4 linked regions of the Alligator mississippiensis genome follow. The protein of the gene in region 1 interacts with the protein of each later gene in a pairwise test. Links are inferred from orthologs where the notes say so. Each region holds a gene or a part of one and is shown in the gene's direction. Other genes may lie near its edges.

Evidence for each region.
Region 2: the proteins of CEP76 (region 1) and AKAP7 interact in a two-hybrid assay, tested with the Homo sapiens proteins (3 studies listed by BioGRID). The two-hybrid records come from large-scale screens. The link is inferred for Alligator mississippiensis from reciprocal best matches to the Homo sapiens genes CEP76 and AKAP7.
Region 3: the proteins of CEP76 (region 1) and KIAA1143 interact in binary tests that used the Homo sapiens proteins (3 or more experiments, as listed by UniProt). The two-hybrid records come from large-scale screens. The link is inferred for Alligator mississippiensis from reciprocal best matches to the Homo sapiens genes CEP76 and KIAA1143.
Region 4: the proteins of CEP76 (region 1) and CABP5 interact in binary tests that used the Homo sapiens proteins (3 or more experiments, as listed by UniProt). The link is inferred for Alligator mississippiensis from reciprocal best matches to the Homo sapiens genes CEP76 and CABP5.

The regions. Positions count from the first base shown.
Region 1 is NC_081826.1:97,848,487-97,856,291, reverse strand, and holds the start of CEP76 (centrosomal protein of 76 kDa), read left to right. Parts: upstream 1-4,289; 5' UTR 4,290-4,340; coding exon 4,341-4,403; intron 4,404-6,398; coding exon 6,399-6,554; intron 6,555-7,679; coding exon 7,680-7,761; intron 7,762-7,805. Other genes in the region: PSMG2 (proteasome assembly chaperone 2), read right to left, coding at 77-248, 3,940-3,999. UniProt on the Homo sapiens protein: Centrosomal protein involved in regulation of centriole duplication. Required to limit centriole duplication to once per cell cycle by preventing centriole reduplication.
Region 2 is NC_081824.1:113,907,998-113,915,665, forward strand, and holds the start of AKAP7 (A-kinase anchoring protein 7), read left to right. Parts: upstream 1-4,200; 5' UTR 4,201-4,337; coding exon 4,338-4,383; intron 4,384-6,447; exon of another isoform or gene 6,448-6,534; intron 6,535-6,563; exon of another isoform or gene 6,564-7,668. UniProt on the Homo sapiens protein: Probably targets cAMP-dependent protein kinase (PKA) to the cellular membrane or cytoskeletal structures.
Region 3 is NC_081828.1:136,489,397-136,497,101, reverse strand, and holds the start of KIAA1143 (uncharacterized protein KIAA1143 homolog), read left to right. Parts: upstream 1-4,483; 5' UTR 4,484-4,545; coding exon 4,546-4,653; intron 4,654-7,642; coding exon 7,643-7,705. Other genes in the region: kinesin-like protein KIF15, read right to left, coding at 729-771, 4,290-4,308.
Region 4 is NC_081830.1:325,403-331,920, reverse strand, and holds CABP5 (calcium-binding protein 5), read left to right. Parts: upstream 1-4,577; 5' UTR 4,578-4,628; coding exon 4,629-4,691; intron 4,692-4,780; coding exon 4,781-4,811; intron 4,812-4,918; coding exon 4,919-5,062; intron 5,063-5,142; coding exon 5,143-5,252; intron 5,253-5,329; coding exon 5,330-5,477; intron 5,478-5,563; coding exon 5,564-5,589; 3' UTR 5,590-5,695; downstream 5,696-6,518. Other genes in the region: uncharacterized protein LOC102566895, read right to left, coding at 9-383, 600-698, 804-1,097, 1,231-1,560, 1,899-1,959; ADP-ribosylhydrolase ARH1, read left to right, coding at 2,355-2,365, 2,451-2,680, 2,757-2,855, 2,970-3,219, 3,300-3,766, 4,116-4,291. UniProt on the Homo sapiens protein: Inhibits calcium-dependent inactivation of L-type calcium channel and shifts voltage dependence of activation to more depolarized membrane potentials. Involved in the transmission of light signals.

The DNA.
Region 1 (7,805 bases):
ATAGACCACTGCAGGACTGCACCTAAATCAACATCTGAAAAATAGCTTGTAAAGACTACTGGTATAACTTACATACCTTCTGCATTTATACTCAATTCTGTTGAGTTTTCTTCTGCTGTTGCATACGGATTATTCCCAACCATTGGCACAAGGCAATCAGTGTAGAAGTAACCCACTTTAGGCATGTCAAGTGTAGAAATAACCAAGTCTATCGCTAGTTGGCCAACATTTCCCACTGATACAGATGGCTGAAACAACACAAGATACTTAGTGTCAAACTAACAGATTTGTAGTTTACCTAGTAAGTTACAGTAAAGTTCATCCATAAAATGTGATGGTGTGAGAAAGACCAAAATTAAGTTACTTAAATCCTCAGACTAGTTAGACTTATCACACTTCTAAGAGAAGCATTTCATGTTTTGACAGACACGTAATTTGTTGAACAGCCTGGCTAGCCTACTAATACAAACTTTGGCTTTGATCCTGCAAATATATATTAAAATTTACTTCTTCAAGTATCCCTACTTCCATAGAAAATTAAGTACAGGACTGAGGGTTCAGGGGTTTTTTTTCTCCACGGGTGACAAAGTTACTAAAACTCAGTGCAGAAGCTGTCAGTACCTAAAGTGACACCTAACGGTTATTTTGATATTACACACTTAATATGTAAATAAAACTATGGTATTTTAATTGAAGTAACTTTAAAAGTACTATTCAGATTAACAAGTAAAATCCCCTCAACTTTGACCTAATTACGACCTAATTAACTCTCCTCCCATCCAGTATTTTAAAATTGGATATGAAAACCTGAGGCATTATTCTACGTATCTCAAAACACACATTTGTTCACATTTTGTTTCTATACTAACCGATATGTAACGTAGGATTTGTAATTCGGCACTGTATATCCTTTATCTCCAAAATAAATGGGATGCTGGTTAGTATATCAGGCAAGTAAAAAATTACTATAATAATTAATTCAAAAATCACCTTTTTGCTAATGATGAAAGCATCAGGGGAGACTCCACCTGAGCTGTGGTGTCAACAGCTTTGGAAAGTATGCCTAACAAGTTTTCTTCTTCTTTAAAAAAAGGAATACATTATACTCACTGGGACTTACTAGCAACTTGGAGGGGGGTAAAGAAGGGAAGCCACATTTTTCCTTAAAGTAGCACATGTATTATGTGCCCCAGTCCTATATAGCTATACAATGCTCTACTCTGCTCAACTCTACTCTCATCCAAGTCACAGAACTAAGTTCAAGTGTATCTTGCTGGAACCAGCAAGATACACTGAAGTGAAAAGTTACCAGTGTCCTGCCACCTCACATCCAATTTATAATAAAATGAAAGAATTTATGGAAAAAAATGTCACCCCTCTCTGTGTCCACATGGCTGATGCAGCTGGTGGTGCCACGGATACAGTCAGTTTACCTTCACATCATTTGGGCCCTCTCTGGGAGGAATCCCTATGGCAGTGATTTCTCAGTAAGGGTGCTTTGATATACTTTCAAGGGTACTGTGGGGTACCAAGGCAATGTTAGTTTTGTTAGGTATGCACACATAATTCAAAAGATAAACCCAGAGATTTGAAATAGGAATTCATGGTGTTAAAAAGATTCTGGCCTGTTGCGGTCTTTCCGAGTGCTTTGCAACAGAAGAATTGCTCTATTATTTGGCCATGGTCAAAAAATTAGTGAAAAATAAGAAGTAGCATTTTCCAAGGTGTGCTCCAAGTCTATCAAAGGGTGCCACAAGCATAAAAAGTTGAGAACCACTGCCCTATGGCTATGCAAAAGGAGAATGCACTTTCATTTAAAACTGAGCCAGGTCCTGACTGTTTTAGTTTATGGTGAAGTAGGGGTGGATCGGGGATGTGCATTTGTGCAGCAGTACACTTGCACCCCCCTCCACTCAAAATTGAAAACCAGTGGCAGAGGGAGAAGTGGCATTTCTATTCAGGTGGTGCTTATGGAGTAACCGTTTGTTATAATCTACCTGATCACCCCAGCTCACCTCCCTTCACTCCACAGGTGAGAACGACCCTCTCTTTTTTTAACCATCTCGACCTTCTACTAATCAAGTTATCCTTTCTTCCATAATTTAGCAGGTCTGTTAGCCATTCCTGGTAATGCTGCTCTTCAATTCCATGGCCCTACAGACTGTTTGTAGCTGCAGCCTAAAAAACCTTAACTCAGGCATAGAAATGACTGACAGCAGCATTGGCGGCATGGTCAAGATTCTCAAGAAGGCAAGATTCTGTTTTAGGTATCCCAATGAGACGTACCTGTAAACTACACCTGTGGGACTAATGCCACACTATCTTCCCCCCCCCCCCACACTTGACATCTAATCTAGCAGATACCTGCAATTCCAGACAAGTTACATTTTGCTTTCACTTTGATCTCAAAATGGGAAAAGCCAGGGATGGATCCAGAGGGAGAATGCCGATGCACTTGCACCCCCTCTGATGTCTGCTCCACCCAACCAGCTGCCTGGCAGTGGTAACATTTCTATCAGGGCATGCCCAGGGAATTCATTTGACTTTGTGGCTCACCGTCATCTACCTGATCCCTTCTCAGCTGTTCATTTCACAAGTGTTAATGACCCTCTCTTCTTTTTAATTGTCTTGCTCTTTCCCTGCTCCAGCTCTCTTTTGTGCTGCCATTCTGTTGTCTTTTGGCTGCTCCTGCTAACAAAGCTCCTATTCCACAGCCCTGTGGTCTGCTTTTCCCTTATTGCAATGCATTTCTAATTGTTTTTCCTTCCATCTTAAACGGAGATCATCCACCCCCAGATCCCTAGCAGCTTGGTAAAATTTTTGTTTGTTTTTAACTAGAGAAAAAAAAATGTTCGGCTAGACAGGAGGGCGCCCCTACCATCTGCACCTTCCTAAAATTGTGGGGTTGCCCATAAGGAAGGCAATCAAGGGGGGGGGGTGCATGTGTGTGGCGCCGGGGGGGGGGGGGGGGGGGGGGGCTGGGTCCCACCTGGGAGCAAAGCTTCTAGCTCAAAGATTGGCAACCTCCAGCACATGTGCCAGAGCACGGCACATAAGGCCATCTTCCCCACCACGCTACAGCCAGCCTGCCACCAGCCAGAGCCCAGGTTGCCCGTGGCAGGTGACCAGGAGGCTGCAAGCAACCCAGGCTCTGGCCAGAGGCTGGGCCGGCTGCAGCTAGGAGGCTATAAATAGCTGTGCTGCTCTTCATGGCCCCAGCACCAGCTCTGCGGCTGCATGTGCAGCTCCAGCACACAGCTGAGAAGGGACCTGAGGGCACTGCAAGCCTGGCCCCAGCCCCTGCTGTCCACCCAGAAGCACACATGCAGCTGCTTCTGCCACAGAGCCAGTGCTGGGTGCTGCAGACTCTTGCACAGCTATTTGCAGTGTGCCTGCCACATGCTGCAGCTGCCCAGAGACCAAGCTGGCTGTGGCAGGCAGCTAGGAAGCTGCAAACTCCTGCACTGTGTTCCCCGACCCAGCTTTGTGGAGGTGGCAGCTATGTGTACACCTTGGGATGGACAGCAGGTGAGGGACCAGGGTTGTGCTGCCCCCCAAACCTCTTCCCAGCTGCGCACCCAGAGCCAGTTGCACAGCCGTCACCACGGAGTCAATACCAGGACTGCAGTGTTTTAGTTACTCCAGCCAAAAACGTTGCCAACCCCTGTTCTAGTTTCTCTTGAAGTGCACCAAAACGGCCTTGTGTGGGCTGTGAGGATGCCCCTGCCCCGCTTCCACATCCTAGACCCCCTTGGCAGTGCCTTGCCCCGCAAGGTAGACAGCAAGGCGCTCCGCTGCCGTCACGCCCAGAACGCTGGTACCTCCTGCGCCAACTGCCGCCCCGTGCGGGGCATGTCCCACCTCCCCTCCCCCCAGGGCCCCGCACAACCGGGGGGAAAGGCCGCGGGCAGCCCCGGCGCGGGGACTGGGGGTCGTTACCATAAGCAGCGTGAAGCCTTTGAAGTCGCGGCGCGCCGCGGTGCTGCACGGCACGAACATGACAGGCGGCGCGGGGGCCCAGGGCCGGGCGGGGCCTGCCTCCACTGCGGGGGCCTTCCACTTCCCGGCGCCTTAGGCGTCGTGGATGGTGCCTGTCCCCACCCTGCTCCCTGCAGGGGCCGCGCGGCTGCCGGAGCCCCCGAGCGGGCTGAGCCGGGGATACCAGTCCCGGGTGGCAGCGGGGACCCTCCGTCAGGCAGCTGGGCGGGCAGCCTCCCGTCCTGGCCGGGCAGTTGGAGACGGCGGTTGGGGGCTTGCAGGGGGTGTGGCCGCACGGGGGAGGGGAGGGCTCAGTTACGGCGGCTGCCAGCGGCTCGGTGAGGCGGGTGCGGGTTTATGCTATGGCTTTGCCGCCGGACAAGGCTTCGGAGCTGAAGCAGATCATCCGGCAGCAGCTCGCCAAGGTGCCCTGGGGGTGCGGGTGGCGGGGGCATGGGGCTGCAGGTCCCGGTTGGCTCTGAACGCGCTCCGGGCACCTAAATGTGAAATAATCGTATTGCAAGCTCATAGATTCATAGATGTTAGGGTCGGAAGGAACCTCAATAGATCATCGAGTCCGACCCCCTGCCCTGGGCAGGGAAGTGTGCTAGGTTCAGATGACCCCAGCCAGATGCCTATCTAATCTCCTCTTGAAGACCCCCAGGGTAGGGGAGAGCACCACCTCCCCTGGGAGCCCGTTCCTGATTTTGGCCACTCTGACTGTGAAGAAGTTCTTCCTAATGCCTAGTCTAAATCTGCTCTCTGCTAGTTTATGGCCATTATTTCTTGTAACCCCCAGGGGCGCCTTGGTGAGTAAAGCCTCACCAATTCCCTTCTGTGCCCCCATGATAAGCCACAAGGTGGCCTCTCAACCTTCTCTTGCGGAGGCTGAAGAGGTCCAGGTGCTCTCCAAATGATCGTATTTGCTGGTCCATGTGCCCTCGAAATGATCGTATTTGCTGAAAAGCTATCGTACACGGAAATAGATGCAAATATTTCTTATTATTTATTTTCTATTACTTGTTATAAGGTGCCAGTGGGTGAGTGAGTGAGCAAGACCTGGGTCATCCAAGTGGAAGCATTTCTTTATTTCGAGGCAAGCAGTTGTAAGAAAGTGCTGGCGGCAAACCCAAAAGTCAGTTAAGACTCTCTGGGAGCGACTTGGGTTTTGCATGTGCTGCATCAGCGAGCTGCCCCAAAAATAGTTGTATGTTTTGAACACTTTTACAGATTGTTCTGTCGCAGAAGGGTTGAAACTATTGTACGAATACAATAATTATTGTACACTTGGCCACGCTGCGCTCTTGTCTCAGGCCCCACGAGGTGGTGGGCAGCTGTGCCTGAGCTGTCGGAAGCAGAGGGGCCACGTGGAGGAGTCCGTGAAGAGCCAGAGTAAGGATCCCTCTGGCCACCTGCACCGTCCGGCCTCCTTCAAAGCGCTTGGAGGGCTGGCAAGGGCCTCCAGAGGTCCTAGTGCAGCCCCAACCTGAGGCAGGCCACTCCCTATCCAAACTGACCTGGACAAACCATCATCTAAACCCCACAGGAGGATGCCCTCAGCCCTGGCACAGCACAGTAGGCCTAGCATCCTTGCCTGCCTCAGGCAAGGTAGCCAGAGTCGTGCTTCTCCAAGGTGTTCTCAGTATGCGCTCCATTGAGTGTTTTGTTTATTTTTGGTGGTATGAGTGGTTTTGGCTGTGCACCTGCTGCCAGATGAGCTCCCTTCTACCTTCCACTTGATAAGGATGTTAAAGGTAACAGCAAGGCCCTGGCCTGTGTAACGGATGGGGCTACTCTGGTTTCCTCTGCCCCAGGAAAGCAGCAAGGACCAATTCCTTCCACATTTGTGACAGCGGATGCTTCATTTTTACTGCATTCCTGTTTCACTGCAGTTTATTCTTAGGGGGTTTTAATCTTTTTAATCTCCCAGCATGCCTCTTTGAACCATGTAGCTTGAGGACAGGGGTGCTCAACCTGCAGTCTAGGCAGCCATGGTATTCGGCCTGTGGGGCTCCCCGCTGGTCAGGAATTTGGGTGGCAGGAGAGCACGGCCACCCTCCATTACTGCCAAATTCCCAAACCCTGCAGATCTGCATTAGGGCTCAGCTGCACCCCCTTTCCCCCCCATGGGGCTGCATCCGGGCAAGCCCCCTTTCTCCCCTTCAAGGGCTGGACTCCTCCCCTGCGTGAGTGGATGGGGCCTGACTGCATTCATCCTGGATTGGGTCCACCAGCTGCATATGGCCCACAGATAAACAAGGCTCTACCCAGCCAGCCACCTGGGCAAAAAGGTTGAGCACCACTGCTCTATGGTATTAGATGGTTATTGAGGGTTATAACTTATTTGATTAATGTAGGAATGCTATAATGCTATCCTAACAAGCATTGGATAGCAGGTCATAGAAGTTTTTCTCTTCTAGATGGACGTCCATGGAAGGATCCGAGAAGTTCTTGCTGAGACTATACGTGACGAGATAGCGCCCGAGCATCAGCAGTTATCCACAGATGATCTGATGAAAGCTCTGAGACGAAGAGGAATCATTGATGACGTTATGAAAGAACTTAAAGTTGTAACTGTGAGTACATTTTGAAAAGGGAAATATTTATACTTTGTTCATCTTGGCATTGTTAAAATTCTTTCAATAGGCAGTGAAAACTCATTTCAGCCCAGTGTCGCTTATGTTGGCTTTATTGATTTCTGGTATATTGTTGACAAATTAGTAGAGATGCACCAATTAGACATTTTGGGGGCCAATACAGATAGCCAATTTTTAAGGAGGCATATTGGCCGTTACCGATCCGATTTCCGGTGTAGTTGAGTCCAGCTGGTAAGTCTGTGATGAAAAGGGAGGAGAGGGGGGCAGATCAACACCCCCCATGGTGAGGGAAGGAGTGGGGCTGTGGCTGGGGTAGGCATGTGGTAGGCACGGTACTGAGCTGCAGCTCATCCGGGGAGGGGTGGGGCATGGCTCTCGCTGCTGTACACTGCTCATCCAGCAGTTCATCCAGTGGCTCCTGCTGCTTGTCAGGGTGGCGGGTGACTTGTGAGTGTGCCCCTGGATCTGCACAGGGCAGGGTGGGCTGCAGCTGCGAGCTGGGGCTGAGCAGTTGAAGCAGTGATGGAATGAGCTGCCGGATGAGTGGTGCACAGCAGTGGAAGCTGGCCCCTCCCCCCGCACCTCTGGATGAGCCACGGCTCTGTCCCATGCTCACCCCGGCTGGGCGGCACCTACTCTCACCTGAGGGCGTGTAGGTCTACACTCCTTCACCTCAGGGGCCATAGGTCTGCCCACCCATGCCACTTCCCTCCTCCCTCCCTTTCCACCACACCAGATTTAACAGCTGGATGCAGCTGTCCAAGCTGTTGGGCTCATGCTGCTCACTGCCTGCATGCTGTGCTGCGGCTGTGCCCACGCACGAGCAATTATTAGCCACTTCAGGCTGATTTCCAATTTTCTTTATATCAGTGCCGATCTGATATTGGACCAATGTATTGGTGCACCTCTACAAATTAGTTTAACTTTTATTGTAAAGTCAATGCTGAACTAGTAAGTCCAATTACTGGAAGGGTGGTGGTTGAAACATTGTGTGGTAGGATGGCAGAGAAGTGTGGGATTTTCAGGTTTCGGAAACTGCCAAGGATCTTTAAGAAGTAACGTTTCTTAACTTAGCTCCTTAAAAATGTTTAACTATCGTTCCAGGATATGAATGACCAAGAAGTGACCTTAGATCCCAAGCCATCTACCCATTTTGTTGACAGACAGCTGCCAGTACTGAAGAAAAGTATGTTTTCGTAAATTTTAGTATTTGGATCATAGTTCTGTGAG
Region 2 (7,668 bases), on another chromosome or scaffold:
GGGTGAGGCCATTCTTCTGGCTCTGGACAGCTCACCAAAACTCATTAAGTGGCCCAGCAGCCAAAATAATTGTCCCCCGCTCCGACCTAACTCTTAACTGTTTAAGCAGCCAGGGACTGAATGTCCTGTGGGCCCCACCACTGGGGGCCACAAACCCATGAGTCACATCAAGGTAAGACACAGGCTCCCTGGACTGCACACTGTATTGATACCCCCACCATTGCATGTCTGTGCAGGTCCTGGAGGATAGAGGGGGAGGCTGGAGACTTTGGCTGTTGTTGCAGCTGGAAAGATGGGGCATGGTGGCTGAGCAGGAGCCTGGGGGTCTGCTTAACCTCTTGCAGGCCACATGCAGCCCATGACCTGCCAGTTGGACAGCCCTGGGTTAACCTTAGGAAGATCAGATCATTTGGGTCTATTGTGAAAAAGAGATTGAAGTGACTTAACTCTAAAAGCAGGTACTTAGGGTCTGAAGCCTCCAAATAAATTTTATGTAGCAGAAGGGAAAATCTAGGATCATTCTAAAGACAAGGTTAGGCCTTGTCTATACTATAGGGCTTCTCCTGTTGTAATTATGGTACCCTGATGTAAATGCAGTTCTGCTGGCTTTTTAAAAGTACAAATACTTTCTTTAGGTAAGAAAATATTCCTCTTGTATCTGCTTACCACATAATGCTAGGAGGTTCATGACCCAAAGGAAACTGTGCAGTCACAGCAGAAGCATTATTGTGGGTGTGTCTACACATGCAATTAATGCCAAGCAATAAACTCTGGTGCCATGCTATTTGAATGTGCACCCAGGCCTGCAGCATATTGAGCTGGATCAGAGCAGCCCCAGCTGGCAGGGAGCCCTGGGGGTTAGCTTGCCAACCTAGGGCTGCTCCCTGCTGGCTCAACATGCTGTGGGGGGGCTGCCTGGGGCAAGAGGGTGCTCCAGTGTGGAGCCAGCTGGCATGCAGCACCCACACTGAAGCACCCTTGTGCCCCAGCCAACTGCAGCAATGTCACACACTCACACACTGCTATAGAGTGAAAAACTCCATAGCAGGATAGTACTTGTAAATACAAGTACTGTCCTGCTGCAGAGTAAATTAGTTTATTGCAGCCTAATAGGGGCTCATGTGTAGATGCATGATGTTTACTGTGGAGCTAATTAATATACTCTTCAGTAAATGTCTTGTGTAGACATGCCCTGTTAGTGGTAAGCAAGGTGGTTAACTGCATTACTTTGAAGTCAGGCAGAAGGTAGGGCAGCGTGACACCTTACAGAGAGACCGTTCAGAGATACCATGTAAGCTCATGACTCTGAATTGGCCGATCTAAAGTAGTGGTTCCTACTTTCTTTAGATGGAAGGCACCCACCCATCAGAAAAATGGCAACTCTTAGCTTTAATCTATGTCTTGACTACAGAATAACAATAGAGGAATTATTTTGTTGCAAAGAACTACAGAAGAACAAAATGTTTTTTGCACTATGAATTCCTGTTTGATATCTCAAGAGTTTATCTTGGGAATCGTGTATGCACCACACAGGACACCTAAAAGGATCTGAAGGCACCCTATTTGAGACTCACTGTAGTAAGGTGCCACCCTGTCCTGCCCTCTGCTTGCCAATGGTAAGGGGGGAGGCACAGGCATGTTGATTCTAGAAGACTGCTCAAAGGAAGATGGAAGTTGAAAGCAGGAGCATCCATTCTTTGCACCACAGTGGAGATTGTAGCTAGTTGTTGTATACAGTCCTTCTACCAGTCTGAAGGTGGGGGTGGTTGCCTTTTTTGGAAAGTTATATTGAGCTACTATACCTAAGTTTCAGTAGCCTCCTGTTTTGGGCAGTTAGGCCTGGGGAGAAGCTCTGGGGGAGTTGTAGCACAACTCCTGTTTGAATGCTGCAGTAGGTGAAAATGGTAGTGTAAGTGATGTCACTAAGATGATCCAGAAATTATGCTAAAGGCAAGGATTTCTTAGTGTGATCTCTTGTTATTGGACTAACTGTATTCCAACTCTATGGTTGGTCCCAGGGGCAGACTGGGGGGGCAGGGTGTGCTTTGATTCCTGGTCCACCCAAAGTTTAAAACCAACTGCCCGCAGCAGCAGCAGCACTTCTTCTATTCAGGCAGCAGCGGGAGTCACTTGATTTCATGGCTCATTATAATCTATCTTTTAAACTAGGGGTGGGCGATTATTTTGGCCTGGGGGCCACATACATAAATTTTGATGAGTTGTGGTGGACCCAGTCAGCACCCCTGCCCCTACAACTCACCAAAAGTCCCTATGTGGGCCATGGGCAGGCAGGGAGCTGTTTGGGAGTGGGATGAGTGGGTGAGGCCAGGACCATGGGATGGGGGTGTGGGATGGTGACAGTGTGGGACTGAGGCCCAGGGCAGAGCCATGATCTGCTCCTTGCATGCCCCAGACCTGTGTGTGTGGGGGGGAGGGTAGGTGTGTGTGGGGGGGTGCGTGCACCTGTGTGTGGTGAGGGGGAAAGCTTTTTGGGAGCTAGATCCTGGGAGCTGGCTGGTGGGCGGGGGATGAGGAAGGGCATGGGATAGATGCAGCAGAGCTTGCCTGGGCAGTATGGTCTGTGGCTGCCCTCATGGCACTCTGCATGGGGCTGAACCCTGCCCAGGGCAGCCTGCACAGTGCTCCAGACTGTGCCCACTAGTGCAGCCCTGGCCAGAGTGCACAGCTTGCTGGGGCCTGCAGCTGCCTGGGTGCAGCTTGGCTCCCCTCACCTCCAGCTGCAGCTCTTCCTCCTACACTGACTGCACTGCTCCAGGTGGGGAGGAAGCTTCAGCCAGGCAGCTCCTGCCCCAGCATGCAGGGATCCGGCTGACTTCCACCCACTCCACCCGACTGAAGCTTGCTTCCTGCTCGGGGCAGCACAGCAATAGGAGGAGCCACTGCTAGAGGCTGAGCAGCACCCATGTGGCTGTAGCCACATCTGGATTAGCCCTGTGGGAAGCTGCGCATGCTGGCCTGGCCTGGGGCTGGAGTGAAGCACAGGCTGGCCCAGTCACAGCTCAGCCCCATCTGGAGCACCACAGGGGCAGCCACAGGCTGGGTCCAATCAGTTGGCATGTTGGATCTGGCCTGCGGCCCATATTTTACCTCCCCATTCTAAATCCTTCACTCCACAGGGGTTAGTGACCCTTTATTAGCCATCTTAATAGTCCACAAAGCAAGCTACCCTTTCATCTGCAATTCTGTCATCTCTAGCTGCTCCTGGTAGTGTAGCTACTACTTCATAGCACTGTGGACGGCTTGGACTCTACCTAAAAACAGTAGCTCAGGTATGGAAACATGAATTCAGGAGAACATTAACTCAGGCATGGAAATAACGTTCAGTTGAAGCACCAGATGCACCATCAAGATGCTCATAAAGGCTTGATTTTGTTTTATGGCTCTGAGATACTTTTAATTCTTAATGACTACAAGACTAAAGAAACAACATCTTCTGATTATTTCCGCTGAGCTTTTTAATATATAATATGTGACACAGCAAATGAATGCACGTCAGTGAAGTTAGGTTTGTTTTTGCTTTCATCTTAACCTGGAATAATACAGCCCCAGGCCCCTAGGATATCAATAACACTTCTAGCTTCTTCCCCTTACCTGGGGAAAAAAGTGTTGTGTTGTGCTTATATGTGACAATACACCACACCATCTGCCCATCTCCCTCAACCCCCTTTTGCCCCATTTCAAAATCCGAGATTCCCCGAAGCAGGAACGGACCCAATACAAGATTTCACCCCAAGGCATCCTGGCCACCCTGTACCCCAAAATAAAAGTGAACTCCTTGCCCTAACCGCCTATTTGGAAATGCCTTTTCTTTTTTTAAGCCACCCCATCAAACCCAAACCTGGCACTGTAGAGGCAGAGGTGGCCAACAGGCAACCTGGGTGGCAGCCTGCTATGGGTCAGGAGCCAGAGAGGGGTGGGGGCAGGGAGTAAAAAGCTGAGCAGCAGACTGGGCAGGCAGCAGAGACAGCAGGCAGCAGGAAGTGGAGCAGTGGATCACACTGGGAAGGGAAAGCAGAACAGCATACTGGGCAGGCAGCATGTCAGGACAGGGACACCAGATCACTAAACGCACCCCGGGGTGAAAGGCGCGGAAGCCGGTCCCGGGTGCGGGGCGGCCCTTCTGGCCCCTGTGCCGCGCCGTAGCGGAGCTGGGCGGGGTGGGGCGGGACATGCTGCTGCCGCTGCGGCTGTTCCTGGCGCGACGGGGGGCGCTGCTCCGGCTCTTCCCGCTCTGGGCCCCGGGCCCGCGGGCGCCGCCGTGCAGTGGGGGTGGGGCGCTGCGGGAGGCCGGCCGCGTGCTGGGCCCGGCCCGAGCCATGGCGCTGCCGCGGGAGGAGCCACCTTCGCCGCCGCCGTCGCAGGGTGAGGAGAGGAGAGGGTGGGGAGGGTAACTCCCAAGGCGCATGCGCAGGCGGAGGGGCGGAGCCCCATGACATCACCGCCCTAGGGGGCTGGAGGGAAGGCTCCGCCCCCGGGTCCCACCGCCGCATATCGGAGGCTGTTCTGCCTGGAGACCGCACGTGGGCGTGTCTCCCGGTCTGTCTGCTCGGCTCGTCTGCCACCGTAGAGATCGGTCTGGCTGTGCCTGCCCTGCCCACCCCCGATCTGCCCAAGTGTCTGTCTGTCTGTCTGTCGCCTACCCGACTACAGAGCAATGTCTCTGCCTACCAGAGAGTCCGTGTGGATCTAGCAAACGAGAGCTGTAGCGATCCAGCTGCTGACCCACCTGCCTGCCAGACTATCCATCGAGCGGTCTGTCTGTCCATCTGCTTTATCTGCCTGCCAAAGTATAGCTCGGCCTGTCTGTCTGTCAACCGAAATATGTTTGTATGTGTCTGGTGATCTGTCTGTCTACTGATCTACCTATCTACCAACCAAAGTGTCCTCTGACCTACCTACCATCCAGCCCAAGTGCTGCTTCGTCAATTAGTTGTTCTGTCTGTCTGCCATCTGCCAAAGTATAGATCAGCCTGTCTGTCTACCAAAGCACCGCTGTCCCTGTTTACCAAAGTATAGTTATATTTATCTAATAAGCCTGCCTACCAATCAAAGTATAGATCTGCCTACCTACATACCTGCATATCTAAGTCTGTCTAAATATAGAGCTATCTGTCTATCTACCTACCGAAGTATGGGTATAACTATCTATCAAAAGATCGATCAATGGATCAATCTACCGACTAAAGTATAGATATGTCCATATGAGTGTATGTGTATGTGTGTGTATTTTAACTGTTACTTTATGAAATCAAATTGTGGCAATACTAAAAGTGTGTGTCTATATCAGACACTTTTAGTATTGTCACAATTTGATTTCATAAAGTAACAGTTAAAAGAGAGAGAGAAAACTTTGTTATGATCTGCCCTTGCCAGTAATGCCTTAATGCCTAAAGTGAAGTTAATGCTTAAATAATAAAAAGTTCTACCACTGGCTATGAGAACTGATGTGGGATCCAGGCCCCCAAGTAGTAGGAAAGGAGATGACAAGCACTTGAAAAGTAGAAGAGTTGTGATTAGCTAAAGCAGTGGTGCTCAATCTACTTTGGTTAGTAGATACCGAAGTGGTTATAGCTATATATGTGTATGTATATGTATATGGTTAGAGCTATAGCTATAACCACTTTGGTATCTACTAACCAAAGTAGGTGCAGATCTTTCTCTCTCTAAAAAAGAGAGATACTGAAGTAGACATAAGTATAGGCATAGATATAGATCTATACCATACTTACCCAGATCCAAGACAATCCTGAATTTAAGACAGTCCTCCACCAATAATTAGATTCTAGACATAGAAAATGTGTTACTTTGTTATAATTTTTCCATGTATAGAATCTTATTAGTGGAGCGTCATCTTAATTTTGTCCTCAGCACCACTGCAGTGGGCAAAGCAGTCAGGCGGTGGCAGATGGTAAGTGGGGACCAGGGTGTATAGAGCCAGCGGGGGCAGACAGCAGCCATGGCTGTGGTCCCAACAGAGAATCACAGCAGCTGCCTAGCCCCGGTGTCCTGCCCCCTTGTAATGGGTTCCAAGACAAGGGCCTTTCCCCCCTTCTCCCATATTAAATGGTATGGGGGGAACCTTGTCTTCGAATCAAATAAATACAGTAGGTGTAGATATAGATTAGTATATAAGGTTAGTCTATAAGGTGCAAATCTATCTTGCCTTCTATTTGACTTCAGACTAACACATTAAACTACGTGGTCTCTTGCCCCATCCTTATTAACAAATTGAGGTCTGGGTGAGCGGAGGGAACTGAATAACTAACTCCTGCCTGTTTTAAGTCTGCCTTACCTCTCCAGAAACACTTTTATTCTCATAAATTTTGTGTCAGATATGATTATGATAGATTATAAAACATATTGTTTTATCATTAAGGAATTAATTGCATTTTTATGTCCTTGATTTTTGGTTTGTGCTGCCATCAGGTTTTTGATTTGTGCTGCCATTTGGTTTGTGTCACCATTGTGTCAAACAAAGGAGGACTAAGGAGGTCTAGCCTACTTGATGACAAGGTACAGGTATTTTTGGGCAGTGTCTGTACATGAGTTTTCAAAGCAGTAAACTTGTTTCCTAAACTTGGAATACTCTGTCAAAGGACATTATCATTACCACTGTACTGATTCTTTCCATTACTAGCTTCCCTGTGATAACTGAAAGAGATTTGAAGAATGCAAAACCCATTTCCATTAATAAAAATATGGGAGCATTTTAAATATAATGTAAATGTGTGTTAACATTTTGAAGTTCTGGCTAATGCTAATTAAGAAACAGTATTTACATTACAACAGCTTTGGACAAGGCTTTCGTTTGCCAGAGTAGTGTTCCCTCTTACCTACCTATCAAACTAATTTAAAATGTCCATTTACATTGTTGCTAAATGTTAAGACTTGAAAGCAGAGATTTTTTTCTTCCCTTAACATTAATGCTTAGAATTGATTTTGTATTACTCTGCCAATTTCTTTAAGTGCTAACCAACCCATTATAATAAATGATAAGGAGGGATTTGTGTACTTGGAATTCAACCTGTAGGATTTAGAGAAAGCCCTTGTGCTTGCGGACAAGCCAACTGCTTATTTATTGAAAAGGCACTTTGTCAAGAGTCCTGTTCCTCTGCTCTGACCGGCTCTTATTGTGACAGGCAGAATTTTTCAAAGTGGCATTTGTCTCTCAATACACTTCTTATTCGATGGAGCAAAGGGAGGACATAACATAGGGTTCACAGACATACATACAGCCCTTAGTATTAGGACTGACTATATGTGGGCAGATCTCTTGTGTCTACGTGGAGCCACATTGATTTCAGAGGGGCCCCCACAGGCATCAGTTGCAGGACTGTGACGTAAGGAACCCAAACCAGTTACTTTTTGGTTGCTTCACTGGAAATCTACGTAGGATTCACATTTTAACAGTCAGTATTGTGGAACTGGAGTGAGTGAAAATGTTTTAAACTAAGATGAAACTTAAAGCCTGCATATGTTGACAGTCTTTCCACAGTAGCATGGTGGTGGTGCTACTTATATGAGACTAATATTTCTTAATTACCTAAAGTCTGGCACCTAATCTAGGGTTACAGGTGAAAAATGGAGGGCTACAACAGGAAAAGACAGGGTTATAAGAACTTAATGGGAAACTTAAGAACTTAATGA
Region 3 (7,705 bases), on another chromosome or scaffold:
AAAGGCCTTGAACATCTCCAGGGTTATAACAGTTAAAGTTATATACTTTGTGAAGAAGCATTAAGCCTCATCTTACTGGGCTCAAGCTTATCCGTTACTAGTAAAAAGGAAGCAGCTGTGGGCAAATGGCATGTTATGCCACACTTGCATAATGAAAAGTTACTTAAAAACTGTCCTTTGAAGCATTTGATGTTGGTCACCATAGGAAACAGGACACTGGAGTACACAGATCATGGCTGTGATCCAGTACCTATAATTCAACCCACTTAATTAACAGAAGGACCTACTAGTTAAAATTAGTCCAAACACAAACACATGACCATTTCTTGGCCCACATTAAGATGGTTTTTCTAAAAGCTCAATGTATGGCAATATAAAAAACAGGCTACCAGGTATTCTGCAGTCATCTAAGATGACAGTCTCAAAGTTGGGTATACACGTGTTTACGGACAATTTGTTTTACAAGAGAATCCACAAGATCATTCATTCTGGCTCCCACCCATGACAGCCACCAAATTCACAACTATAAAACCCTAAAACATGTCATTAGAAAATGACAGAAAATGCAAGAGCACAGGTCAATATCCTACCACTGTAGCAGCAGTTCATGAGAAGACAAATTTCTATTCCACCACAACATTTAGAAACTCTAAACCCTCAAAAATCACTTTGCCAAACAGAATACAGTTTAAAATGCATCATAAAACAAATAGCAAACAGATAGTTACTTAAGTGAATTTGACGAAGGTAATGCTGGATTGCGCACATCTCCTGTAAAACAAAAGGGGAACAACGCTCATAAAACTTCACAGGAAAACCATTTGTAGCTATCAGTAAAGGATTAGGAGAAAATATTCCAAATTATATTGGGAGAGAGAAAAAAGAAAGACATTTGCATACTTACAAAACCATTTAAACATGTTTTACATTGTAACTGGCAATAATAGGAAGTAGCAAAAAAATTTCATCTACCATATTCCTTTGCTAGATATCTGGTTTAGTGCTTCTGGCATATCTAGTGGAAGCACTAAACTTTCAAGGCAAACACTTGCATATGTTTAACTCTATGAATGGTGCAACCCTATTGAATTCAGTGGGGCTGCTCAAGTGCATTAAGTTATGTGCATGTTTGCATCAGGCCACAGATTTTTAGCTATGGTTACAGATTCCCACATAATGGAGTTTTAAAAAGCTTTAAACCATAACAGGTAGATATCACAGAACATTAAGTTTTGACACATATTAGCCAAAAGAAATTTCATTGCATAACAGCGAAGCAGCCGAAATACTTTTACTTGAGCACTGTAAAAAAAACTAAGATGAACTCTATGAAATATCCAAACTTCTACCATCTTTACTCTCACCATCAGCATAATGAAAACAATTGTACTAGGACAGGGAGTTCCACAAGATCCATCAATCCTCCTTAAAGAGAACCAGCTAGCAGTAGCCCAAAAGTTCAGCTACCTAGGTTTTAGTGACTACTAACCTTGCACTGGATGAAGAACTTAGTGTTCATATCAGAACTTAGTGTTCATATCAGAAAGACTGCCACCACCTTCATCAGACTAGAAGAGCACAGAACAACTCAAAGCTTACCATCAAGACCAAAATGCTAGTGTACAAAGCTTGCAAACTCAGCACTCTCATGTATGGTGGGGAAACATGGATAGCTTATGCACATCAAGAGAAAAAGTTAAACTGCTTCCACCTGTGCTGTTTATGCCACATACTCAACATCAAATGGCAAGATAAAAACTTACCACTGCAGAGGTTCTTCAAAGGGCAAGTTTACTAAGCATGAGAGCCCTACTCAGACACTGATAACTGAGCTGCCTAAGCCATCTAAGCAGATCAGAAGATGGATGCATAGCCACGGACGTGCTATACGGGGAACTATCGAGAGGAACAAGAACAACAGGACATCCCAAGTTTTGCTACAAAGACACATACAAGTGAGATATGAAGTAGAGGTGCACTGATACATCAGTCCAATATTGAATCAACACCAAGATAGGGAAAATTGACAGCATCAGAAATCGGCTTTTTTGCCCTATGTGGCCAATAAATGCTCTGTGCAGGTGTACAGCTGCAGCATGTATGTGGCCAGGAGCACAGCCCGGTGGCTCAGAGGCCGGCATAGAGCTGGTACGGTGTGGAGGCAGGGGTGGGGAGTCAGACTGAGGCCCCCTGCAGTGAGGTAGTGGGGCAGCAGCAGGCGCTGCTCAGCCAGGGAGGGACACAGGATGGATCCGCGAGCCTCTCATCCAGCGGGGGGGCCTGCCACTACATGCACCCTGGGAGGGCATGGGTGCCCCCAGATCTGTGCGTGAGGTGGCACTGGGGCTCTAGCCACAACAACCCCCCTCCTCCCCCCGTGCCCAGCCCAGCCCCTTTGCCGGGAAGTACCCAGCACAGGTCCTGGCTGCAGCCCACCCTCGCCCCATGCACAGATCTGGGGGCACATGTCCCCCATGCCCTCCTAGGGTATGTGCAGCAGCAGGAGCTGTCCTCCCCCCCGGAAAAGCCGCTTACAGCTCCATCCCATGCTCCGCCCCAGATGAGCAATGCCTGCCCATGCCCCACTCCCTCCCTCGCTGTGCGGGCCTTGATCTGCACCCCACCATGCCCCTTCCCCCACACCAGACTTAATCAGCCCGATGCTGGTCTCCAAGCTGCCCGGCTCTATATTGGAATCAGATTGGTTTGGCCAATATAGCTCCTTAAAAATCAGCCATCGGTACCGACCCAAAAAATCTCTATTGGTGCACCCCTAATACGAAGGCATTTGTAATTGATCCTGACCAATAGGAAACCTTGGCAGGGGATCATAACAAGTGGCATCATCATCTCCATTAAGTTCACAACAGAAATTGACTCCAACAGCTTGAAGAGAAAAAAGCCCATAGGAAGCATGCAGCTCCTGAACAGCCCAACCATAACATATGCATTTGTAATCACTGCCACAGATCATGCTGATTAAACTATTCAGTCACATGAGACACTGCAAACCATCTACATCATGGGCTACAATATTCACTGTCTCCAGTAGATGAAAGGATGCCAAAGCAAGCTACCATCTATTCAACCATGGTTAAATGCTCCATAACAAATATCTGTAAGGCCTCCCCTAGCACACAGCGAGCTTGAGTCTGTACTTTGGCTTCAACAGCAGGACTTGCTAACAGTGTGAGGGAGAGGCTTAAGATTGAAAATTATCATCTCTACTACATCAACCTGCTTCCCAATGAAAGAGTCCCAGACACACTGCACCTGATATCTCTTGATTTACTTGAGGACACTGAAGCAGCATACTATGCTATAAACTTACAAAAAAAGCCAATGCAACTTTCAAACGTGCTGCATCAAAACTGCAAATTACACTGAAAAATGCAATAGTGAAATGGTGAAAACACAAGAATGAAAAATGCAGTCAGGGAAATCAATCAAGGTTCATGGACAGAGGGGATATCTTTTATTAGCCAAGCAAGATTTTTAGAAAAAAAAAGTCTTTAATTAAAAAAAATCTTTTAATTGCAATTAAAAGTCTTTAATTGCTTTTGGGCACAAACACCCTTCATCAGGCATCAGAGAAAAGACTGTCAGGGAAACCAGGAATATGTGTATATAATGAATGCATGTAAGTGATAGAAAATTAGTGTGTGTATATACATATGCACACCCAATTGATAGAAAATTAATTACTAATTATTAATTATAAGCGTGTGTGTATACACACAATTGACAGTTTGGAAATGTATATGCACACATATGTGCAATTGATAGTGCTAAGAAAATAATTAGGGAGCATGTGTGTGAACTAGAAAATTAGTTCTCTCTCTCTCTGGCTTATACCTACACACACACACACACACACACACACATTTATATCTACATGCAGACGCACATGCATAGGCACGTATACAGGTGTAACCCATATGGATCAGATGGGATGGACGGTACATCCCGCTCGCCGGCCCCCGACGCACAAGGAACTAGAAACCCAGTCGAAGTGGATGAGGGGGTTGGTCGCTAACGGGGCGGCGAGTCGCTGAACTGGCCCGGTCCTTCCTTTCCTGCACGGCTGACGCGGGGGGACTGAGCCTGGGCAAACCGCGACGCAGCTGCTTCCCGCCGAGGACAGTGCCCGCCGGCCCGCTCTCACCTCCTCCCTTTGCTGGAGCCGCCCCCCAGGAAGTGACGGGACCCGCCAAGCCTCCCCCCGCGGGGTCGCTGCCAAGGCGCGGGCAGCCCCCACCCCGACCCGACCCGCTCCGCTCCGCCGTCACCTTTGGTCCCGGGCGCCATGGTGCCCGCGCCCGGCGCAACACCGCCGCTCAAGATGGCGGCAGGTTCAAATTTGGCGCTTAGCGCCAGGAAAAGCGGAAGTAGTGTTCAGCCAGGAAGCCGCCGCGGGGAAGCGGCCTTCGTCACGTGATGCGGGGCTGTCCACCCTGGCCTCTGTCCGCCCCGCCCCTCTCCTGGCGGAAGTGCGTCGTCGGTGCTGCGGCGCGCGGGCCGTTCCCTCGAGAGGCGGCGGCGGCCATGAGCAAGCGGGACCAGGTGTCCTATGTGCCGCCGGCCGAGCCCGCCTTCCTCAGCCGCTTCAAGAAGGAGGTCGGGTACCGCGAGGGGCCCACGGTTGACACCAAGGTAACGGCCCGCCGCGAGGCCTGCGTGATGTCACCGTACCCTCCCCCATCAAGGCAGTGACGTTAAAGCCCCGCCCCTGAGCGCGGGGGCACTGCTCTCCATGGCCACGTTCGCTTCGCGCCCTTAGTGTGAGGTGTGTCAGGTCCCCCCAGGGGCGGTGGGCAGGGCCCAGCTACCTCCGTGCAGCCTGCAGTGTTGCCCGCTGTATGATAAGTATTGTATTTGCACTTTAATTTCAACCCTGGTATGATGTACTATCGATAATAGTAAAAGTGTTCAAAATGCACCAGACAAGGTTCCTTGGGTGAATTTGATATCTTTTATAAGACCAACGCAAATGGTTGGAGAATAGTTATTAAGCAAGCTTTTGGGTTCAAAAACCCTTCGTCAGGCTAAGGAGGTTTCAGCAGTTGGTGTGTGCTCTTCCACACACCAACTGCTGAAGCTTCCTTAGCCTGAGGAAGGGTTTTTGAACCCGAAAACTTGCTTAATAACTATTCTCCAACCATTTGCGTTGGTCTTATAAAAGATATCAAATTCACCCAAGGAACCTTGTCTGCCTACGTCCTTAGACCAACACAGCCACAACCCAAACCCCTGCAAAATGCACCATAATTTTTGAGGCAGCTCATTGTTGCGGCCTATGCAAAACCAAGGTCGCTCTGAGAGAGTCTTAACTGACATCTGGGTTTGCTGTTGGCGGGTTTTTTTGTGAGTACTCACCTCAAAATAAAGAAATGCTTTAAGTTTAACCCAATTCTCACTCACTCACTGGTGGCTGGCAGTGATCAAGATCAAGTAAATAAGACTTATTTGTCTACTTTTTTTTTTCAGTGTATGATAGTTTTTCAGAAAATATGATAATTTCATATTTAAGACCTGGCAACACTGGCATCCAGGCTCCCTGCAGCGGGTTGGCAGGCAGCAAGGAGAAGAGGCTAGCAGAATGCTCTGAGGCCCCCCCCCCCACTACATATATTATGCAGTTCATGGGTCATTGTACGATAAATGTAGAGTGGCTGTCTTTGCTAAGTCCTTGTTGTGCCCTATAAAGGTCCATAGAGCTTTAAAAAGAGCCAACCGAGCCCCCAAGGCCTGGAATAGACTCCCTCCAGAGGTGGTGGGAGTCTGCTTACTATGGACTCTTAAGAACCGTTTGGACAGTTATCTTCCTGGGTGTGATATGACCCCAGCTGACTTCCTGCCCCTGGGACAGGGGGCTTGACTTGATGATCTTCCGGGGTCCCTTCCAGCCCTAATGTGTATGAAGCCGGCCCCCAGACTAGTGCTTGAAATGGTGTAACAGCTTTCTACGTGGTTGCTGTCCAGTTTCAATGGTTTAATGTGGGACTGAGCCATTAGTGTCACGCCCCTTGCATAGGGGCTGGCAAAGGACAAAACTTCAGCCTCTCACATAAGTTAAAGCAGCGCTTCCAAGTGTCGGGACCCAGGGCAGCCGGTCAGCAGCTCTCCCTGACTCTCACCTGGGCAGATAAGGGTCCGGGGCCTTAGAAGGCCGTCAGGCGGGTATCTGTGATGCTTGGAGTGGAATTAATTAGGCGGACGCTTATCTGTTGGAAAGCAAGATTGTTTACTCACGTCAAGGTGGTGTAAGACGGAGGTCAGAGATACTTAGTTAGAGCTTAGAGATCGTCGTTCTGCAGATATATATATACGGGCCGGCGGTCGGCTTATCGGGCATGCGGGGCAAGGGTACGCCAGGGAGGTCGTGGCAGGAAGACGCTGACAACTGATCAAATTGTCAGATTTACTCCAAGGTGTGTGCAGAGTTGTCTTCGACTTTGCGAAAAATGTAAGTGGGTTTTGTTTGTATGATAGCCAATTGTTTTTCGCCATGTCATAAATCTAATTAGAATCGCCAATTATCTAGCGGTCTTTGCTAGGGTGTTATTTTTACAGGGTTACTCCTTGTTTTCTTTGACCAATTATAATGATTTATATAAAGCAAAGAAGGCAAAAGTTTTTATCTCTGTTAGTGGCGCAGCAATAAATTTCTTTTTGACATGCGCAGAAAAAAGTGGTTACTATCATTATTGTTAACCCTTAGTTAACCTAGTGCAGAAAAAACTGTTTTAAATGGTTATTACTTGTTTGTGACATGGGCACTACTTAATTTGGTTGTGACACCAAGGAGGTTGCCTTGTCCTTTCAAGAGTGTCATGGGGCATCACGCAAGGCTAGCACTGTTAGGGGTGCAAGTACGATTTGCAAGAGAAACCTCTAGATTTCCCCCAGGAATCCTTTTGTGTTTAAATCATCCCAATCTTGGGAAAGAGGGAGGGAGGAGAATCTTCCTAAACTCTTTGCCAAAGAAGAATAGCTCTATTATGTTTCAGGAGTCAAAGAAAACCCAAGTGAAAACAAAGCCCTAGCATTTTCCAATGGGTGCCTTGAGCCTAAGAAGGTTGAGAACTGCTTGAGCAAGTGCTGCATCAGCTTACATTTGGCTGCAGTGGCCCCTAAGGGCTGGTCTAGCTGCTTAAGCACCGTATTAAAGGGTACAAGGCTGCTCTGGGATAACTGGAGAAACCTTGGTTCTTGGTTTAAGTTACCTTTGTAGTGTCCTTGTGATGGTGAACTTCAATCCTTTTCCTAATGTTTTCTGAAGCTTCTCTAGTGTGTCTGAACCACAGATTTCTGATTGGACATCAGTCTACGTATAAATGTCAAATAAGTGGAATATATACCTTGTCTTAAACAGCAGCAGTTCCAGCTGTGTTCATGTATACAAGCATCTGCTGCTTTCTAGCCACTAAAAAGATGGGCATCAGCTCTTCTAGCATAAGATTTGACTGTAGCTTTGTGCCATTTGAGTATTGCATGTTGGGAAGGCTTGACACTGTCCCTATGTCTTTCCATCTTGAGCTTGCTACAAAAGTTGAACCAGAGACTGATCTTCCCAGTACTGTTTGCTTAGGAACTTTGGTTTGGCATGGTCATCAGAGTTGCTTTTGTTTCTCTCATGTAGAGAGAGCAGCTTCCGGTCCCTGAGGAAGATGATGAGAGTGGTAGTGACAAAGAGGATGAGCGC
Region 4 (6,518 bases), on another chromosome or scaffold:
GGACTCACCCCACACCCGGATCTCCCAGCACTCGGGCTCCTCGCCGCTGTCTCGGGCCTCGGGCTGGAGGAGACACCGCACGCGCGCCCCGTGATCCTGCACCGTGGGGGTGAAGGTCAGGAGGGCCGTGAGGCCGGTCTCGGACCTCTCCTGGGTGGACGTCCAGCCCGGGGGCGGGGACGGGAAGAGCAGCTGGTGCTCAGGGGCCGCCCTGGGCCCGTCCTTCTGGATCAGCGCCCTGTCCTCGCCCTGCGTCCGCTCCCACGTCACCGCCGTGTCTGCACGGATCTTCCCCTCCACGGAGCAGCGCAGAGTCACCTCCTGGCCCAGCCGGCACCGCTCCGGCCCCTCCACCTTGGACACGGAGCAAGCGGCTTTCCTGCCTGGGGTGGGAGCAACACACAGGACACAGGGTCACCTTGGGACGGTCCTGGAGACACGTCCGGCCTGCGCTGGGGCTGCGGGGTGTGGGTCCCCGGGAGCAGGAGGGTAAAGCCTGCCCTGCTCCAGGGGCCCGTCTGTGCCCCGCAGCGTGCCCCTGCCCGAGACCCTGTCGCCGTCCCCCCTCCCCTCTGCTCCCCCCGGCGCCGTGCCCGTACCTCTCCTCTGCCGCCAGCAGTAACTGGCCGCGCCCGCAGCTCCTAGTGCGAGCACGATGGCCACAACGGCCCCAATCGCAGCTCCGGTGCGGTCCGAGCCTGCAGCAGGGACGGGGTGGGAGGGAAAGTTGGCACACAGCCTTGCTCCAGCACTCACCCTGTAGCACTGTCTGGCCTCGCTGCCAGGCTGTTTTGGGCACTCACCTGGGACATCCAGGGCGAACTCCTCGACCAGGGGCTGCCCCAGCACCGGGTGTCGGACGCGGCAGGTGAAGACGGCGCCAGCGTCGCTCCGGACTGGGGTGAAGGTGTAGGTCAGGGTGAGGTTGAAGGTCCCGTCCTGGTTCCTCTGGGGGCTGGAGCGGGTGGAGCCATTCAGGACCTGCTCATCTCTCAGCAACGTGGCCTCCATGTCCTCGGGGAAGAAGCCACCCACGTGGCACAGGAGGGACGTCTCTGCGCCACCCACGCGCTGGTCCAGGGAGATCCTCGGGGCTGCTGCAGGGGCCGGAGCCCGTGAGGGGAGCACCACCAGCCCCCAATTCCCGGAGCCGTCCCGCACCACACACCCACACCCACCGCCGCCCTGGCCATAGAGCAGTGCCCAGGCCTGGGTCCCAAGGGTCCTTACCGAGCACCCAGAGGGTCGTCTTGCCCAGCTGCGTCTCTGTGCCGTACGCCACCTCGCAGGTGTAGGTCCCGTTGTCCTGCACCGCCACATCCTGCACCTCCAGGGAGGCGTTCCCGATCTGCAGCTCCTGCTCGGACAGGCGCAGCCGTGGCTCAAAGGTCCCCTGGCCCCGGTCATACTGTGCCACGGGGCCCGCAGCGGCGGAGAGCCAGCGCACCCGCAGCACTGCTGGGTCTATGGGCCTGCCCACGTTGAAGCGGCACTTGAGGAGCGCCACCGAGCCCAGCGCTGCCCGGGTCTCCGGCGCCGTGTACAGCGTCAGCATGGCCCCTGCCGAGGAGAGCACACGCGCCATGGGGGCTGCACGGCCCACGGCTCCCAGCACCACGCCCCACCGGCCACGGTAGTCTGGCAGCCCCGGTGCTACACGCGAAGGAAGGGGGCCAGAAGCACAGGCCACGAGCACAGCCCCGCAGGATCTGCCACCCTCCACCAGCGCCGGGGCTGAGCACAGTGCGGGGCTGCCCACAGCAGGGCCCACGACTCCCTCTGACCACGGCACCCACTGCCACCCCTGCCAACTGCTGGCACAGCACCCGGGCTCTCGGGCCCACGGCCACACCCAGTGCCCTGCCCCATCTGGGAGCCCCGGGGTGCCCCACACTTACCCGCTGCCCCCAGGAAGAGGGGGTGGAGCAGGGGCAGGAGGAGGGGAGCCCCCAGCCCCATGGACCCGCCGCCTGCGTGGCTCTGCTGCACCCCGCTTCCCGTGTCCAGGCTCTTCCAGGCGGGGAAAAACAGGTTTTGCTTTCGCTTTCCCCGACATCCAAAGGGCAGAGTGGGAATTGCTGCACTTCGACGCGGCCACCTCCTGCGGGAGCGGCGGGCCAGGCCCCCGGCCCTCCTGTCGGCCCCAGAGCCGGCCGCCGCGGCCCCGCTACACCCGCCTCCTGGCGTGCGCAGCCCGGGCTGCCCATCCTCCTCCCCAGGCGCCGGCCGGCCCGCTCTCGCTGCCCCTTTAAGGGCCGGGTGCCAGGGGATGGCGCCAGGGGGAGGAGAGGGGCAGGGGCTGCGGCGCGCGGACGGACAGACACAGGTGCGGGGCAGCCCGAGCGAGAGCTGCCATGGAGGGGCCGTAAGTGCCACGCACACCCCGCGGTGCTGGGGGGGGGCGCACCCGGCAGGGCGAGCCCCCTCATTCCCGGCCCCTGCCCGTGCAGGCGCGGGCCGCCCCGCGTGGAGGCGTACCGGGCGGGCATGGTGCTGAGCGGCGCGGGCGACGCGCTGGGCTACCGCGGCTCGCTCTGGGAGTACTGCCCCTCGGGGCCGCAGATCCAGGCCGAGCTGGCGGCGCTGGGCGGGCTGGCGGCGCTGCGTGTGGCGCCCCCCGACTGGCCCGTCAGCGACGACACGGTGCTGCACCTGGCCACCGCCGAGGCCCTGGCCACCGGTGAGGCAGGCGCGGGCGCGGGGCAGGGCGGGGCAGCGCCCGGGGCCCCGCTCACCCGCGCCCCTGCTCTGCGCAGGGCTGTCGGGGGACGCGCTGCTGCAGGAGCTGGCGCGGCGCTACGTGGAGGCGATGGGTGACATGGAGGGGCGCAAGCCGGGGCCCACCAGCATCCTCGGTACGGGGCGGGGCGGGGCGGCGCGGGGCGGCGCGGGGCGGGGCAACCCAGCCGCCCCCCCCCCCCCCCCCCGGGCACTGCGCCTCACCCCTGTCCTGCATGTGTCCCTCGCAGGGACGTCCCAGTTGCGCCCGGGGCAGCCGGGGGGGCACCGCATCCCCTTCAACCCGACGGGCACCGGCTGCGGGGCCGCCATGCGCGCCATGGCCATCGGCCTCAGGTGGGTGCAGGGGCGGGAGGCAGGCGGGGCCCGGCTGGGCTGTGACCGCCACCTGCCCCGACAGGTACCCGCGCCCCACGGACCTGCCGCACCTGATCCGGGTCAGCGTGGAGAGCGGCCGCATGACGCACCACCACCCCACGGGTACGGGGCCGGGCGGGGCCGGGGCCCGGTGGGGGGGCCGCCTGGCCACCCCCGGCCCTGACCCCGCCGTGCTGCGGCAGGGTACCTGGGCGCGCTGGCGGCGGCACTGCTCACGGCGCTGGCGGTGCAGGGCGTGCCCCCGGAGCAGTGGGGCGCCCGCCTGCTGCAGACCTTGCCCCTGGCGCAGGCCTACGTGCGGGACGCGGGCGGCGACGTGGCCCCCAACATGGAGGCCTGGGCGGACTTCCCCGAGCGCTGGGCCCGGTGAGTGAGGGCGCGCGGACCGGGGGGGCAGCCGGGGCCCCTCTCACCCTCCCGCTGCCGCCCCGCAGGTACCTGGCGGAGCGGGGCCTGGCCACGGGCAGCGGCCCGGCGCGGTTCCCCGAGCCGTACGGCCCGGCGGAGCGCGATGTGGCCTACACCGCTCTCAGCCTGGACGGCTGGGCCGGGCGCAGCGGGCACGACGCCCCCATGATCGCCTACGACGCCCTGCTCGGTGCCGGCGCCAGCTGGGACCAGCTCTGCGCCCGCGCCGCCTTCCACGGGGGTGAGTGGCGCTCGCGGCGCCCGCACGCGTCATGCACGGCTCCAGCGCACTCCCCAGAGCCAGCCGCAGCCTCGCGGGTCGTGTTACGCAGGGCCCCAGGGCACCCAGCCCCAGCGCCAGCCACAGCCGAGGGTCTCTGCTACGCATGGCCCTAGCCCGCCCCACCCCAGAGCCAGCCGCACTGCAGGAAGTCTCTGTGATGCAAAGCCACTACTGCAGCCCACCCCAGAGCCAGCCGCAGCGCTGGGAGCTCCTGGCGGCACCCACCCCACTCCAACCCAGCCGCAGCGCAGGGCCCTGTAGTGACACCCCGCCCCGTACCACCTTGTGACCCGCGCCTCTCCCGCAGGGGACAGCGACTCGACGGCCGTCATCGCGGGGTGCTGGTGGGGCGTCACCCACGGCCTGGACGGGGTGCCCCCCGGCAACCACGCGCACCTGGAGTACCGCGCCCGCATGGTGGAGGCCGCCGACCGCCTGCACGCCCTGGCCTGGGGCTCCGCGCCCGCTGCGGGCCCCTCCTGAGCTTGCCCCGGACACCGGGGTGCCCTCCTGACCCGCTGCCCCCCCCCCCCGCCCCCCGATGCCCCCAGAAGCCCGAGTCCTGTCCCCCAGCCCCTGCCCAGACGCGGGTCCTGCCAGCCCCACCAGTGTGCAATAAAGCGGTTCTGCCAGCAAGCGCCGTGCGTGGTGTGTGGGCACGCGGGACCGCGCGTGGGGGCGCCTGTCCCGAGGCATCGGGCGGGGCGAGAGGAGCCGGGCGTCCGGCGCAGTCGCCAGATGTTGGCCGGGAGCGGGGGGGCGGGGGTGGATTAGGGCGGGTTATAAGGGCCGGCGCCCGCCGCTGCCCCGCGCTGCCGCGATGGACCCGCCACTGGGCCCCGCGTGCGTCTTCCTGCGCAAGGGCATCGCCGAGAAGCACCGGGTGCGGGGGCGGGTGCGGGTGGGCCCGGGGGTGGCGGCGCGGGGTCCCGCACACCTGCCTGCCCTGACCGCCGCGCTCGGATTTTGCAGGAGCGGGAGCTGGGCGCCGACGAGATCGACGGTAAGGCCGGGCCGGGCCGGGCCGGGTCCCCGGGCTGCGCGGCGGGAGCGGCCGGGCGGGCGGGGGCGGGTGCGGGGCCGGCGGCGTGATCGCCCGGTGCCGCGCAGAGCTGCGGGAGGCCTTTGCGGAGTTCGACAAGGACAAGGACGGGCTGATCGGGGCCAAAGAGCTGGGCCAGCTCATGCGCACCATGGGCTACATGCCCACCGAGATGGAGCTCATCCAGCTCTCGCAGCACATCGCCGTGAGCCGTGAGTGCGGGCGGGCGGGCGGGCGGGCGGGCCGGGCGGGCCGGGGGCCGCGCGCCGCTCTCACGCCGTGCCCCGCGCAGTGGGCGGCCGCGTGGACTTCGAGGACTTCGTGGAGCTGATGGCGCCCAAGCTGCTGGCGGAGACGGCCGGGATGATCGGGCTGCGGGAGATGCGCGACGCCTTCAAGGAGGTCGGCGGGGGCCCGGGGGCGGGCGGCGGGGGCGGGGTGCCGGGGCGGCGGCGCTCACCCCCGCGCCGCGCCCGCAGTTCGACGCCAACGGGGACGGGGCCATCACGCTGGCGGAGCTGTCGCAGGCCATGCAGCGCCTCATGGGCGAGCGCCTCACGCCCGGCGACATCCGCGCCGTCGTCACCGAGGCCGACGTGAACGGCGACGGCACCGTGGACTTCGAGGGTGAGGAGCGCGGGGCTGCCGGTGCCCGCACGGCGGGGCGGGGGGGGCGGCGGCGGCGGCGCTGACCGCGGCCGTTTCCCTTGCAGAGTTCGTCAAGATGATGTCGAGCTGAGCCCGCCCGCTGCAGGGACGGGGCAGCCCCAGAGCCGCCGCCCCCGCCGCCCCCCGCCCCCTGCACCCCGCTCCCCCCGCACCCCCCCGCACAATAAACGTCTCCCGCGCTGACCCCGAGTCCGAGCGGCGCGCGGCTTAGCCGGGAGCGCCGGGCTTAGCGCCGCTAATCGCGGCCCGGGGGGCGGCAGATGGGCACGGCCGGGCGCGGGGGGGCTGCCGCGTTAAGCCCCACGAGCGGCGCCTGGCACGCTAAGCCCGGCGCGGGCACCGGGGCGCTCTGCCGGCAGCGTGGGAGCGCACCCCTGGGTGCTGCCCGCCCCCGCCTCTCGCCCGCCCCGCTTGGTGCGGGGGTGCGGGGGCGTCGCGCCCGTACCCGGGGCCACCACCCCCCCGCAGCGCCGCCTTGCCCCCTGTGGGGCAGCAGGGCCAGCCGGGGCCGAGCGGGGGTGGCGGGAAGGGCGGCTCTGCCCCGCGCCCCAGCCACGGCTGCGAAGGGTCCGATGGCCCGGGCCCGGGGGGGCTGGTGCAAAGGACTGTGGGTAAAAGTGGGGCGCCCCCCCCCCACTGCCCAGAGCACTCAGGGGCAGCCGGCCCCCAGCTCGCGGGCCCGGGCTGCCGGCGGGCGCCGCGGTTGCGGTTGCGGTTGCGGTTGCGGTGGCACTGACCGGCCGTGGGGGCGGACGAGGGGCAGCCCCTGCCGCGAGCCGGAGCCGGAGCCGGGCGGGGCGCTGGGGACAGACGCGGGGGTCGTGGCAGCGGGGCCAGAGCTGCCGGTGCTGCGTGGGGCAGAGGGTGCCGCGGTGCGGTGCGGTGCGGTGCGGTGCGGAGCCCCCGCTCTGCCCGCCGCCCGGCTGCTGCAGCGCTCCTCCCGCGGCCCGGCGGGCACGCTGCCCCGAGCAGTCCGGCCCACACCGGCTGGCGGGGCGC